Struthio camelus: one gene and its partners. The protein of the gene in region 1 purifies or fractionates together with the protein of each later gene. This does not show direct contact. Links are inferred from orthologs where the notes say so. Each region holds a gene or a part of one and is shown in the gene's direction. Other genes may lie near its edges.

Region 1 (3,744 bases):
CGCCCTGCTGCCCACCCGCAGCACCTCTGCCGCACCCCCCACCCCCCCAGCGCCCTCCACCACCCCCCCACACACCCACCCCCCCAAACCCCACAGCGCCCTCCACCACACAGACACACACCCCCCATACCCCCCACCCCCACACACCCCACACCCACCCCCCCAGCGCCCTCCACCACCCCCCCACACACCCACCCCCCCAAACCCCCCAGCGCCCTCCACCACACAGACACACACCCCCCATACCCCCCACCCCCACACACCCCACACCCACCCCCCCAGCGCCCTCCACCACCCCCCCACACACCCACCCCCCCAAACCCCCCCGCACCCTCCAGCACACACACACCCCCCATACCCCCCACCCCCACACACCCCCACCCCCCCAGCGCCCTCCACCACCCCCACACACCCACCCCCCCAAACCCCACAGCGCCCTCCACCACACACACACACCCCATACCCCCCACCCCCACACACCCCACACCCACCCCGCCGCGCCCCCCCCATCCCACAGCACCCTCCACCACACACCCCCCACACCCCCCACCCCGCCCCCCACCCCCACACACCCCACACCCACCCCGCCGCGCCCCCCCACCCCACAGCGCCCTCCACCATGCACCCACCCCCTCACCCCCACACCCCCCGCAGCACCCTCTACCACACACCCCCGCACACCCCCCACACCCTACAGCGCCCCCTACACACACACGCACGCACGCACGCACGCACGCACACCCCCCCCCACAGGGCCCCCCCCACGCAGCCCGCAGCGCCCCCTGCCGCCCGCCCGGCCGCAGCAGCGCCTGCCCCTCCCCGCGGCGCCTCCCCGCGCCCCGCCGCAGCGCCCGAGTGCGGCCGGGCCGGCCAAGCTGCCCGGGCCTCCGGCGACCCGGCGGGGGGGGGCGGGGGGCGCGGGGGGCGAACTCACGGAGGGGAGAGCCCGCGCCGGTCGCCGCGCGGAGCCCGCGCCGCGCTACTCAGTGCGCAGGCGCCCCGCGAATCCTGGCTACGAACTGCGCCAATCAGGGCCCGCGGCGCCCCCGCGGGGGCTGCTGGGAGCTGTAGTCTGGGGATGCGGGCGGCGCTCGGGCAGCACCTGTGCCGCGGGCGATGGCGCTGCCGCGTTTCCGAGGCGGCTCCGCGGCCGCGCTGCGTCGGGCCGGGTTCTGCGGCGGCCCCGCGGTGCTGGAGCTGCGGCGGCCCCGTCCCCAGCGCCGGGGGGCTGCCCCGCTTCTGCCCCGCCTGCCGGGCCCTGCAGCCGCCCGGGCCGCGGCCTGACCTCTTCCGCCTCATGGCCTGGTGAGTGCCGGCGGGGCGGGGGCCGGGGCCGGGGCGGGGGGCCGGGCCGGCGGGGCTGGGGCCGGGGCTGGGCCGGCGGGGCGGGGGCCGGGGGCCGGGCCGGCGGGGCTGGGGCCGGGGCCGGGGCCGGGGCCGGGCCGGCAGGGCGGGGGCCGGGCCGGCAGGGCGGGGGCCGGGGCGGAGGCCGGGGGCCGGGCCGGCGGGGCCGGGCCGGCGGGGCTGGGGCCGGGGCTGGGCCGGCGGGGCGGGGGCCGGGGGCCGGGGCCGGCGGGGCGGGGGCCGGGGCCGCGCTCACGGCGCTGCTCTCGCCCGCAGTGACCGCTCCTTCCGCCTCGACGAGCAGCAGCTGCGGCGGCGGTTCCGGAGCCTGCAGCGCGCCCTCCACCCTGACCGCTTCGGCCAGAGGCCGCCGGTGAGTGCCGCCCGGGCGCCCCGGCCCCGACACGGCCCCGGACACGGCCCCGGCTCGGCCCGGCCTCCCCCCGCCGGGGCAGCGCCGCAGCCCTCCCGTGTCGGGCCGGCAGCGACTCCCCGGCTTCCGCTCCCGGGCTGGCTGGGGGGCGGTAGCGGGCGGCAGATCCCGTCGCCACCAGCCCTTGGCCTGGTCCGTCCCGGGAGATGGCAGAGGTACGGTTCTGGGCAGTCCTCTCCCCGTTCTTTGTATTTTACTTCTGTTAAAAAATGAACTTTCAGTTTTACACACATGTACTGCTGTGGAAATGTTTTTTTATCTGCAGGTGACTTAAGTGTAATAATATATTTTGTCCTTTATTACTATGAATAACTTGCTACTGAGTATTGTTTATCTTCTGTTGACAGAAAGAACAGTATTACTCTGAGCAGCACTCTTCCTTGATCAACAAAGCCTACCAGACTCTCCTGAATCCTTTGAGCCGCGGCCTCTATCTAGTGAGGTTTCCATTGCATACTATATTTATACTCTCATAACTAGTTGTGGGTGGTTAGGGCTTTTGGTGGTAACGTAATGAATCAGAGCTTTATAAACTTTGTCTCAGACTCCACCGCTAACGTGCTAGCTAATTCGTGTTCCTCTGAAGAAGAAACAGGACTGAAGGGAGACCAGAAACAAGCTTGTCTGAAAGTTATCAGCCTTTCTATAGAGCACTGTTTTCTTTAACACTTTGCTGATTGCTGTAATCTCGCTTCCTGCTTATGTCACTAGTTTAGTATGTGTTTTGCGCGTTTTCTTTGGCTATAGCTGTTGCTTTTCATTTGAAAAATGAAAAACAGTCTTCAGTCTGCTGAAGCAGTCTTCTTTGCGGTCTTCATTACCTTTTCTTGGCTTTGATTAACTGCTTGTTTTTAGGGTCTACCAGTAGAGTTAATTTTAACACAGACTCTGTTAATGCAGGCTTCACTGAGTAAGTTCACATACCTGAAATTTACCAGACAGGAGTCTGTGCAAGTTAGTAAAGACTTAGTATTTTAGAATATCGTTTACATAGAAATAGATGTATGAACATGGGTTTCCTAATTCCCATTTTCTTCATAAGCTGGAGCTGAATGGAATACAGCTGGCACAAGAGACGGACTGTGATGCTGATCCGGAGTTTCTCATGGAAATCATGGAAATTAATGAGAAATTAGCAGAGCCTAATAATGAGGGTACCCTTGAAGAAACTGAAACCTTAATTAAAGGTAGGTTGCAATCTAGCAGTTTTGTACAGAAGTAATTTACATTCCTGTATCTTTTATAACATGAAAATAAGTTAGTCTCTCTTAAGACTCTTAATTCTTTCAGTGCATTTCTTTTAGTGTCTTATCACTTACTTGCATTAGACTTGAACTGACTTGCTCCAAAGCACCTTTTTTTTTTTTTTTTTTTTTTAAGAAAAGTTATCTTTACCAATTTATGCCACCTGAAAGTCAAATCTGGCTTCAGAAAATCTGCATGAGAGTACCTATTCTGAAGGTATATAGGTATACCTGTATTGATTATAAAAAGGAAATTCTTGTTCAGCGGATAAGGGCAATTCGATTGTTCTAAAGGAAGGAACATTCAAAATGGGATTTAATAAAATACTTAACTGACCACAGGGTATCTCCTGGTTTCAAGGAGATAAATGTGTGATGAAGGAGCCCAAACTGAGTACTATTTTCTACCAAGAGTGGTCCTTTGTCAATGACAGGACTTCCAGACTTTCACTGGGTTCTCTCTTCCACTTGAAAACGTTGAGTATTTTGGTGAATACAGACGACAACTTGATAAAATATTTCATTAAAAGGCAGTTCATGAATCGGTGGTAGTGGAGAATCCAGGCAAGATGTCGGTATAAACTGATGGTGATAAGGTTGTGGAGTTTGAACAAATCTTTGCCTGCTGAACCAAGAGGATAAGCAAAGTGTGATGCGACGTGCAGTTTCTGTCAAAGCTTTTTGGTACAGAGGAGACTTAAGCCTATCAGCAGAATAGTTTCT
Region 2 (3,744 bases), about 2.1 Mb from region 1:
CCATCTTATGCAGCTCCCTTCGCAGCCAGCGCCGCTCCGCCAGCCGCCGGGGCTGCCCGCGCCGCGCCTAAGCCGCCGTCACGCCCTGCCGCCGGGCAAACCCCGCGGGGAGAGGGGCGAGCCGCCGCCCGCAGGGCCCCGCGCTCCGCCGCGCACCGGCACCGCTCCCGGCCGAGCGACTCCGGGCCGTCCCGCTTGCCGGCTGCTGCGAGGCGCAGGCATCGCTGCGGCCACCTCGGGCCCTGGCCGCCGGGGGGCCTCCGAGAAGGTCGGCGCGGGCCCGGAGCGCGCGTGCGCCGCCGGTCCGCCATGTTGAGTGTGGCGGTGGCTGGCGGGGAGCCCAACCCCGCCCCGGCCGCCAACGGCTGCTGCGCCACACTTCGCGGCCGAAAAAATAAAAAAAAAAAAACACCCCGAGCTACTGTTCATCCGTTTTAGTGACAGCGTTAGGGTTCTTGAAGACGGCCCAAAGCGTTCCCTCTGTTTACGAGATGGCTTTCCTCGCGTCCGGGTTACATCACCGGCGCGCTGCCCGAGGCGGCCAGATAACGTTCGCGTGGGCTCGGCCGCCTATCTTGCCCGAGCACGCGTCCCCCGCGCCCTCCGCCAGGCTGCCACACCGCGCGCCTCTCCCGGCACCAGCCCCGCCATGCCGCGGAAACAGCGGCGGACGGGGCGACCTGACGGCACCTGAGGAGCCTCCTGCGAGGGGGCGCGGAGGGGCTGGGGGAACCGCCGGCAACGTAACCGTCGGCTGAGTACTTGGGGGGGGGGTGCACCGAAGCGTGGGCCAGAGCCAGCGTCCGGGGAGAGACGACAGCCGAGAGGGGAAGGGGCTCGCCGGGAGCCGCCAGGCACGGCCCGCCCGCCCCGCTTCTGCCAGGCCGCTGGCCCAGGCCCGTGAGGAGCGCGGCCGCCCGCGCAGCGCCCCGCGGCCCCGCCCCCTCCCGCCGCCACACGATAAAAGGGCGGCGCGGCGCGACCCGCCCCCGCGCGGACCAAGATGGCGGCGCTGAGGGCGGCGGGGGCCGCGCTGCTGCGGCCCGGGCGCGGCGAGGCGGCGGCGAGGTTGGGCTACCACAAGAAGGTGAGGGGCAACGGGACGGGACCGGGGTGGGGGGGAGGAGGGCCGCCGCCGCCGCGGCGACGGGCTTTGGTGACGCGGTGCCCGCCCGCAGGTGGTGGACCACTACGAGAACCCGCGCAACGTCGGCTCGCTCGACCGCAACGCCAAGAACGTGGGCACCGGCCTGGTGGGCGCCCCCGCCTGCGGGGACGTCATGAAGCTCCAGGTGAGCGGGAGGGGAGGGCCCCCCCTTTCCCCCCCCCTTTCCCCCCTTCCCCTTTCCCCCCCTTCCCCCCCTTCCCCCTTCTCTTCTCTTTTCCCCCCCTTCCCCCCCCTTCCCCCTTCTCTTTTCCCCCCCTTCCCCCCCCTTCCCCCTTCTCTTCTCTTTTCCCCCCCTTCCCCCCCCTTCCCCCCTTCTCTTCTCTTTTCCCCCCCTTCCCCCCCCTTCCCCCCCTTCTCTTCTCTTTTCCCCCCCTTCCCCCCCTTCTCTTCTCTTTTCCCCCCCTTCCCCCCCTTCTCTTCTCTTTTCCCCCCCTTCCCCCCCTTCTCTTCTCTTTTCCCCCCCTTCCCCCCCCTTCCCCCCCTTCCCCCCTTCTCTTCTCTTTTCCCCCCCTTCCCCCCCTTCCCCCCCCTTTCCCCCCTTCTCTTCTCTTTTCCCCCCCTTCCCCCCCCTTCCCCCCCTTCTCTTCTCTTTCCCCCCCCTTTCCCCCCCTCCCCTTCTCTTCTCTTTCCCTTCTTTTCTCCTCTTCCCCCCCCCCCCCCCCCCCCGACTTGTGACCTTGGGGCTCCTCGGCCGCAGCGAGGCCTGCTGCAGTTTGGCCTGCCCCAGGGACGGGCCTGGTCCTGTCTGTCCCCCCCCCGCCCCGAGCCCAGGCAGGGCTTGTCGCTGCTCCCCCGGGGATGGGTGTGAGTCAGGTGCTGCCCCCCCCCCCCCCCCCCAGGGGTGGTTCAGGGGTGCCCGGTGAGGCAGAGCCGGCCCCTGAGGTGCTGCTGCCGACGTTCCCGCAGGTGGAGGTGGACGAGAACGGGAAGATCATCGATGCCCGTTTCAAGACGTTCGGCTGCGGATCGGCCATCGCTTCCAGTTCGCTGGCTACGGAGTGGGTTAAAGGGAAAACGGTAAGGGTCTCTGTGGAGGCAGTGCCGTGGAAAGCGTTTGAAGTTTCAAGCCCCACTGTGTTGGGGCCACCGAAGAAGCGGAGGCCTGGAAAGCGCTCTGGAGAAGTGGTGCTATGTAATGTACTAGCTTAGAAAGCTGTGCCTGAGAACTCTGTCCTTGTCAGTGGCCTGGCTTCTGGGGCAGTAGCTGTCTCCTCCAAGAACCTGCACTAATTTGCAGAGAAACGCTTTGTGGATTATACAGCAAGAAAAACAGATTGCAAGATCTGGAAAAAAACTTTTAAAACCACATTTTTCAGATTACTTACCCCCTTTTTTTTTTGGTGAGTTCATGGGTTTCAGTATTGTGCGGAAAAGGTAAACAAACTTAAAACAATTCCTTAGTCATGTTCAGTCCATAACACTAGCATGTTTTGGTTAGTTAACACTGCTGCTTGGCTTGAGGCATTCCTTGAGATTGTTACTTGGCTGGCACAGAAGAAAACTGGATAGATGTTGAGGGTCTTTCTCGTGTTAGCGTGTTGTCCAGCGTCCTTTGCTGCCAGGGGCAGTTGAGATATTCTTTGTGGATTCTGTTGGCCTCTGGAGCCTTAAAGCGCTCTTCTCACAAATACGTTTGGAGCCTGTATTATTTATCAGATGACTAGTATCTTCACACTAACTGTATGTTTCAGGTTGATGAAGCTTTGAAGATCAGGAATACAGATATTGCTAAAGAACTTTGCCTTCCTCCAGTCAAACTGCACTGCTCTAGTAAGTAAAGGACTAAGCTATTAAAGTCCAAAGACAAGTTTGTGGGAATAAGACTTCTGGCAATAGCACAGATGCTTCCAAATGTTATTGTCCAAATCAAATACCTGTACCTGGAACAACTGAGGCTGGCCTGCAAGAGAAAGTAGCTTATATTCGGGCTTTGGGGTGACATTACAAGTTTCCAAGTCTGTCATCTTTTGGGTTTTGTGTAGCTCAGAAGACTGGTGACAATAAAAGGTCTGACTCCTGACTGTCTGCTTCTAAAATACTGACCCTGTTCTCAAACTCCTACGCTAACTTCTGTGGGGTTTACTGCTGCTGGTTTTACTGCATATTGTGTTCAAAATGACTTCTCGCCTCTCTTGAAATAGTTGTAAGGCCTCGTTTTGTTTTCTTTGTAGTGTTGGCTGAAGATGCAATCAAGGCCGCCTTGGCTGATTACAAGCTGAAGCAGGATCCAAAGAAAGAAGAGTCGGAGAAGAAAGCAAACAATGCCTAAACTGACTGTAGAGCTTGTTCTCATTCCACTTAAATTTGCAGTGCAATTACTCTAGCTATTAGTAGGATCCTGTGCACTACTAAATGAAGCTGTAAGATACGCACAACTTACGCACAATGTGTCACTGTTCCATGTGTGTTAAGACACTTGTAGTGCTTAAGTGACTGGAATGTGGGTATTTCAGCAGTCTGTATCCTATCGTGACTATTCTTGGAAATATTTGGGTGAAGGAGACTGCTTAACTGCAGACAGCTATAGTGGCTTCTCTCAGAAGTGAAAATTCTGGTGTTCCAGTGCTGGAATGGCT
Region 3 (3,656 bases), on another chromosome or scaffold:
TGGGCGCCCGCTGCCGCGTGCGGGTGCCCGGGCAGCCCGCCAAGCTGGGCACCGTCATGTACGTCGGTGAGTGGCAGCCGGCGCCCCGCGTTTTCCCCGAATCGCCCGCTCCGCCTTCGGGCCGCTGACGCTCGGCGCTCTTCCTCCTCCTCCTCCTCGCAGGGCTGACGGATTTCAAGCCGGGCTACTGGGTCGGGGTGCGCTACGACGAGCCGCTCGGCAAGCACGACGGCAGGTAGGCGGGCGCCTGTCCCCTTCCCGCTCGGAGCGGTGACTACAGCCGGAGCCCCCGGTGCCCGCTGGTATTTTTTTTCCGCGCTCCGACGCTGTTTTTCCCCCCTCCACCCCTTTTCCCCGTCTTTGCCAGCGTCGCCGGCCGGAAGTACTTCGAGTGCCAGCCCAAGTACGGCGCCTTCGTCAAGCCGGCGAGCGTCACCGTGGGCGACTTCCCCGAGGAAGACTACGGCCTGGAGGACGAGATGTGAGCGAGGCCGGCGCTCCGCCGCCGCGAGGGACGCTGACCCGCCAACAGGCGGTTGTTTCGTTTCCTTTTGTTTCCTTTTTTTGTTTTTTGGAGGAAAACGCTGTTTTGGTTTTTTCCCCCCCCCCCTTTTTTTCCCGCTCCGGTCCAGAGCCGGCCGGCTCGCCGCAGCCTCGCGTGCCCGAATTTCCCGGCCGTGCCGGATCGTCCCTGCTGCCGGTCCCGTGTACAAAGCCGCTTCGTCCCCCCCCCAAACAGAAAATTCCCCATTGCGGCGGTTTTTGCCCCGTTTTCTCACCGCTGCTTTTTATTTCTTTCCTTTTTTTCCCCTCTTGTTGCCGTCGGCGATCGCTGCGCCGGGGGCCTCGCCGCCGCGCCGCTCTCCCGCCGTCCCGCGCCTCTTTTGGGGCCGAAAGCGGGAGGGTTGGGTTTGCTCCCGGTAAGTTATTGTTCGCTTTGTCCCGCCGCCGGGGCCCGTCCCTTAAATAAAGCCCCCGAGGGTGAAGCCGTCGCCGTGGCCACCGGGAAGGGGGTATTTTTGGGGGGGGGGGGGGGTTGGAGCGGCCCCCGGGAAGGAGCCGCCGCCGGTACCGGACCCCACGTGGTGGCAGCGCAGGGGTGGTGCCTCTGGGGGCGGGGCTTCCCCGCAGCCAATAGGCGGAGGCGCCGCCGCGCAGGGGGGCGTGCCCAGGTGGGCGGGGCCGGAAGGGGTGACGGCGTCGCGGGAAGGAGAGGCCGCGCGGGTGAGCGGGACGGGGAGACCCTACAATAACAACGCCGGGGGGGGGGAGCAACACAGCCCCAGGAGACCCTACAATAACAACGAGGTGGGGTGGGGGGGTGGAGACACGACCGCCCCGGGAGACCCTACACTAACAAGCGGGGTGGGTGGGAGAGAGACACCCCCCCCCCGGGAGACCCTACAATAACAACGAGGGGGGGATGGAGACACAATAACAACAGCAGGTGGAGACAAAACCAGCCCGGGAGACCCTGCAATAACAGCCTGGGGTGGAGGAACAACACAGCCCCAGGGGCTGTGACCCTACAATAACACACACACACACACACACACACACACACACACACACACACACACACACACACACACACACACACAGGGACCCTACAACCACCACCCCTCCCCAGGGCCACAACTCCACAACCCCTCCTCGGGGCTGCGACCCTACAACCACCAGCTCTGGGGCTGCAGCCCTGCAACAACGCTTGGGTTGCCACCCTACAACCACCCCTGGGTTCACAACCCTACAACCATCACTCCCAGGGCCACAGCCCTGCAACAACCCTTGGGCTGCGACTCTACAGCCACCACCCCCAGGGCTACAACCCTGCAACAACCCTTGGCCTGTGACCCTACAACCACCCCCGGGGCCACAGCCCTGCAACAACCCTTGGGCTGTGACTCTACAGCCACCACCCCCAGGGCCACAACCCTACAACCGCCATCCCCAGGGCTACAACCCTGCAACAACCCTTGGCCTGTGACCCTACAACCACCCCCGGGGCCACAGCCCTACAACAACCCTTGGGCTGCGACTCTACAGCCACCACCCCCAGGGCCACAACGGTACAACCACCACCCCCCAGGGCTGCAGGGCTGCAACCCTACAACCACCACCTCCAGGGCCACAACCCTACAACCACCCCCACCTCCCCGGGCCCACTGTCCGCCCTTGGCCGACTGTGCACCCCTAACAAAGCGCCTTTCCTTCACGTCCTGGGGGCACCGCAGCCAACACCCGGCAATTAACACCCCTGGCAATTAACACCCCCGCAGGGCTAACTGTCCCCCCTCCTTCCCCCCCCCCCAACCGCAGCCAGAGGCCGCTGGGGGCCGGATTCGCCCGTCCCCGGCGCCATGGCGGCCCGGAGCCGGCTGCAGAGGGAAGTGCTGAGCCTGTACCGGCAGCTGCTGCGCGCCGGCAAGGACAAGCCGGGCTCCGAGCAACGCATCCGAGAGGAGTTCCGCCGGCACGCCGGCACGCCGGCCGGCGACAGCCTGCGCCTCGAGTTCCTGCTGCGGCGCGGCCGGCGGCAGCTGGAGCAGCTGCGCGCCGCCAGCACCAAGCGGCTGAGCGCCTTCGGCCGGGCGGCGGCGGGCGCCGAGCCGAGGCTGCGGGCCGCTCCGGAGGAGAAACAAGCGCTAAAAAGAGGGCGGCCGGGAGACGGTGGCTCCTCCTAAAGGATCGCGGGTGCCGGAGGTGGGATCTGCTCGTTTCCGCCGCTGGGGATTATCGGGGGTTCGGGCCGGTTTGGCGGTTTGTTCCCGTCGCGTTGTGCGCGTTTTGGGGGGAACCAGCTCCGGTCCGTCCTGAAATGAGGAGGAGGAGGAGGGGGGAAAAAAGGAACGCGTCGCCTTCAAAAGGCTGTTTTCCGGTGACGGACGGAGTTTGTTCGCCGTTCCTGACGGAGACACCGCAGCGACTCGCGCCGTTCTCGCAGCAGCGTCACCCGCCCAAAAAAACGTTTTCCTCCTCAAACGGCACCCGGTTGCAATGCGGGGCGGGACGGCAGAGTTCGGCGAAAACTGGCCACCCGGGAGGGTTTGGTGCCGTTCCCGCTCGCGCCCCGGGCTGGCGTTTTATTGCATTTCTAATAAAGGCGAGTTTTAAAGTGGAGAAAAACAGGTTTTTGGGGGGTTTTTTGGGCAGCATGGCAGCAGCATCCTGCTCGACCGCCCGAAAAGTCGTAAAAACCCCAAAGCGCCTTCCCTTGGGGGGACGAGGCCAAAGCGGAGCCCAAACTGTTCTTTGTGCCACGCTCGGGGTAACGAGCGTGCCCGGAGCTGCCTGATTACGGCTGCGGTTTTTGCCCGGTTTGCGTTTGGCCGCGCTGCTGCTTTGGGGCAAACAGGGCACAATCGGTATCCTTTTAGCAGCGCCCTTTTCTTTTATTTTTTTAATGATTCTTTTGCCAAAAAGGCTGCGGAAAGTGCTTCTTTACCTGGCTAGCGTGCTTGTTCGCTGTGCAAGTCCAACGCCTAGCACGACACAACTTCAGGCTTTACACTAATCCAAGCAGTGACCGTATTGACATCAGTAGGTTTCAGGGTTAACAGCACACAGCAGTAAACGGTGCTGCGCGGCTTCAGGCTGCTGGCAGGTCCAGCAGAGGATGTCACCGAGGGCTGGAAATTTAATACGGAAAGTACTAT

The links.
Region 2: the proteins of HSCB (region 1) and ISCU purify together in Homo sapiens (affinity purification with western blotting; 3 studies listed by BioGRID and IntAct, with this or other methods). This does not show direct contact. The link is inferred for Struthio camelus from reciprocal best matches to the Homo sapiens genes HSCB and ISCU.
Region 3: the proteins of HSCB (region 1) and SDHAF1 purify together in Homo sapiens (co-immunoprecipitation; 3 studies listed by BioGRID and IntAct, with this or other methods). This does not show direct contact. The link is inferred for Struthio camelus from reciprocal best matches to the Homo sapiens genes HSCB and SDHAF1.

Annotation. Positions count from the first base shown.
Region 1 is NC_090958.1:20,910,356-20,914,099, forward strand, and holds the start of HSCB (iron-sulfur cluster co-chaperone protein HscB), read left to right. Parts: upstream 1-1,045; 5' UTR 1,046-1,078; coding exon 1,079-1,305; intron 1,306-1,620; coding exon 1,621-1,717; exon of another isoform or gene 1,718-1,923; coding exon of another isoform or gene 1,924-1,932; intron 1,933-2,124; coding exon 2,125-2,214; intron 2,215-2,819; coding exon 2,820-2,964; intron 2,965-3,157; coding exon of another isoform or gene 3,158-3,189; exon of another isoform or gene 3,190-3,241; intron 3,242-3,744.
Region 2 is NC_090958.1:18,837,704-18,841,447, forward strand, and holds the start of ISCU (iron-sulfur cluster assembly enzyme ISCU), read left to right. Parts: upstream 1-955; 5' UTR 956-1,003; coding exon 1,004-1,087; intron 1,088-1,178; coding exon 1,179-1,292; intron 1,293-2,074; coding exon 2,075-2,185; intron 2,186-2,859; coding exon 2,860-2,938; intron 2,939-3,339; coding exon 3,340-3,437; 3' UTR 3,438-3,744. Other genes in the region: SART3 (squamous cell carcinoma antigen recognized by T-cells 3), read right to left, coding at 1-4.
Region 3 is NC_090957.1:1,947,402-1,951,057, reverse strand, and holds SDHAF1 (succinate dehydrogenase assembly factor 1, mitochondrial), read left to right. Parts: upstream 1-1,074; 5' UTR 1,075-1,224; intron 1,225-2,319; 5' UTR 2,320-2,360; coding exon 2,361-2,684; 3' UTR 2,685-3,122; downstream 3,123-3,656. Other genes in the region: TBCB (tubulin-folding cofactor B), read left to right, coding at 1-66, 163-235, 368-485.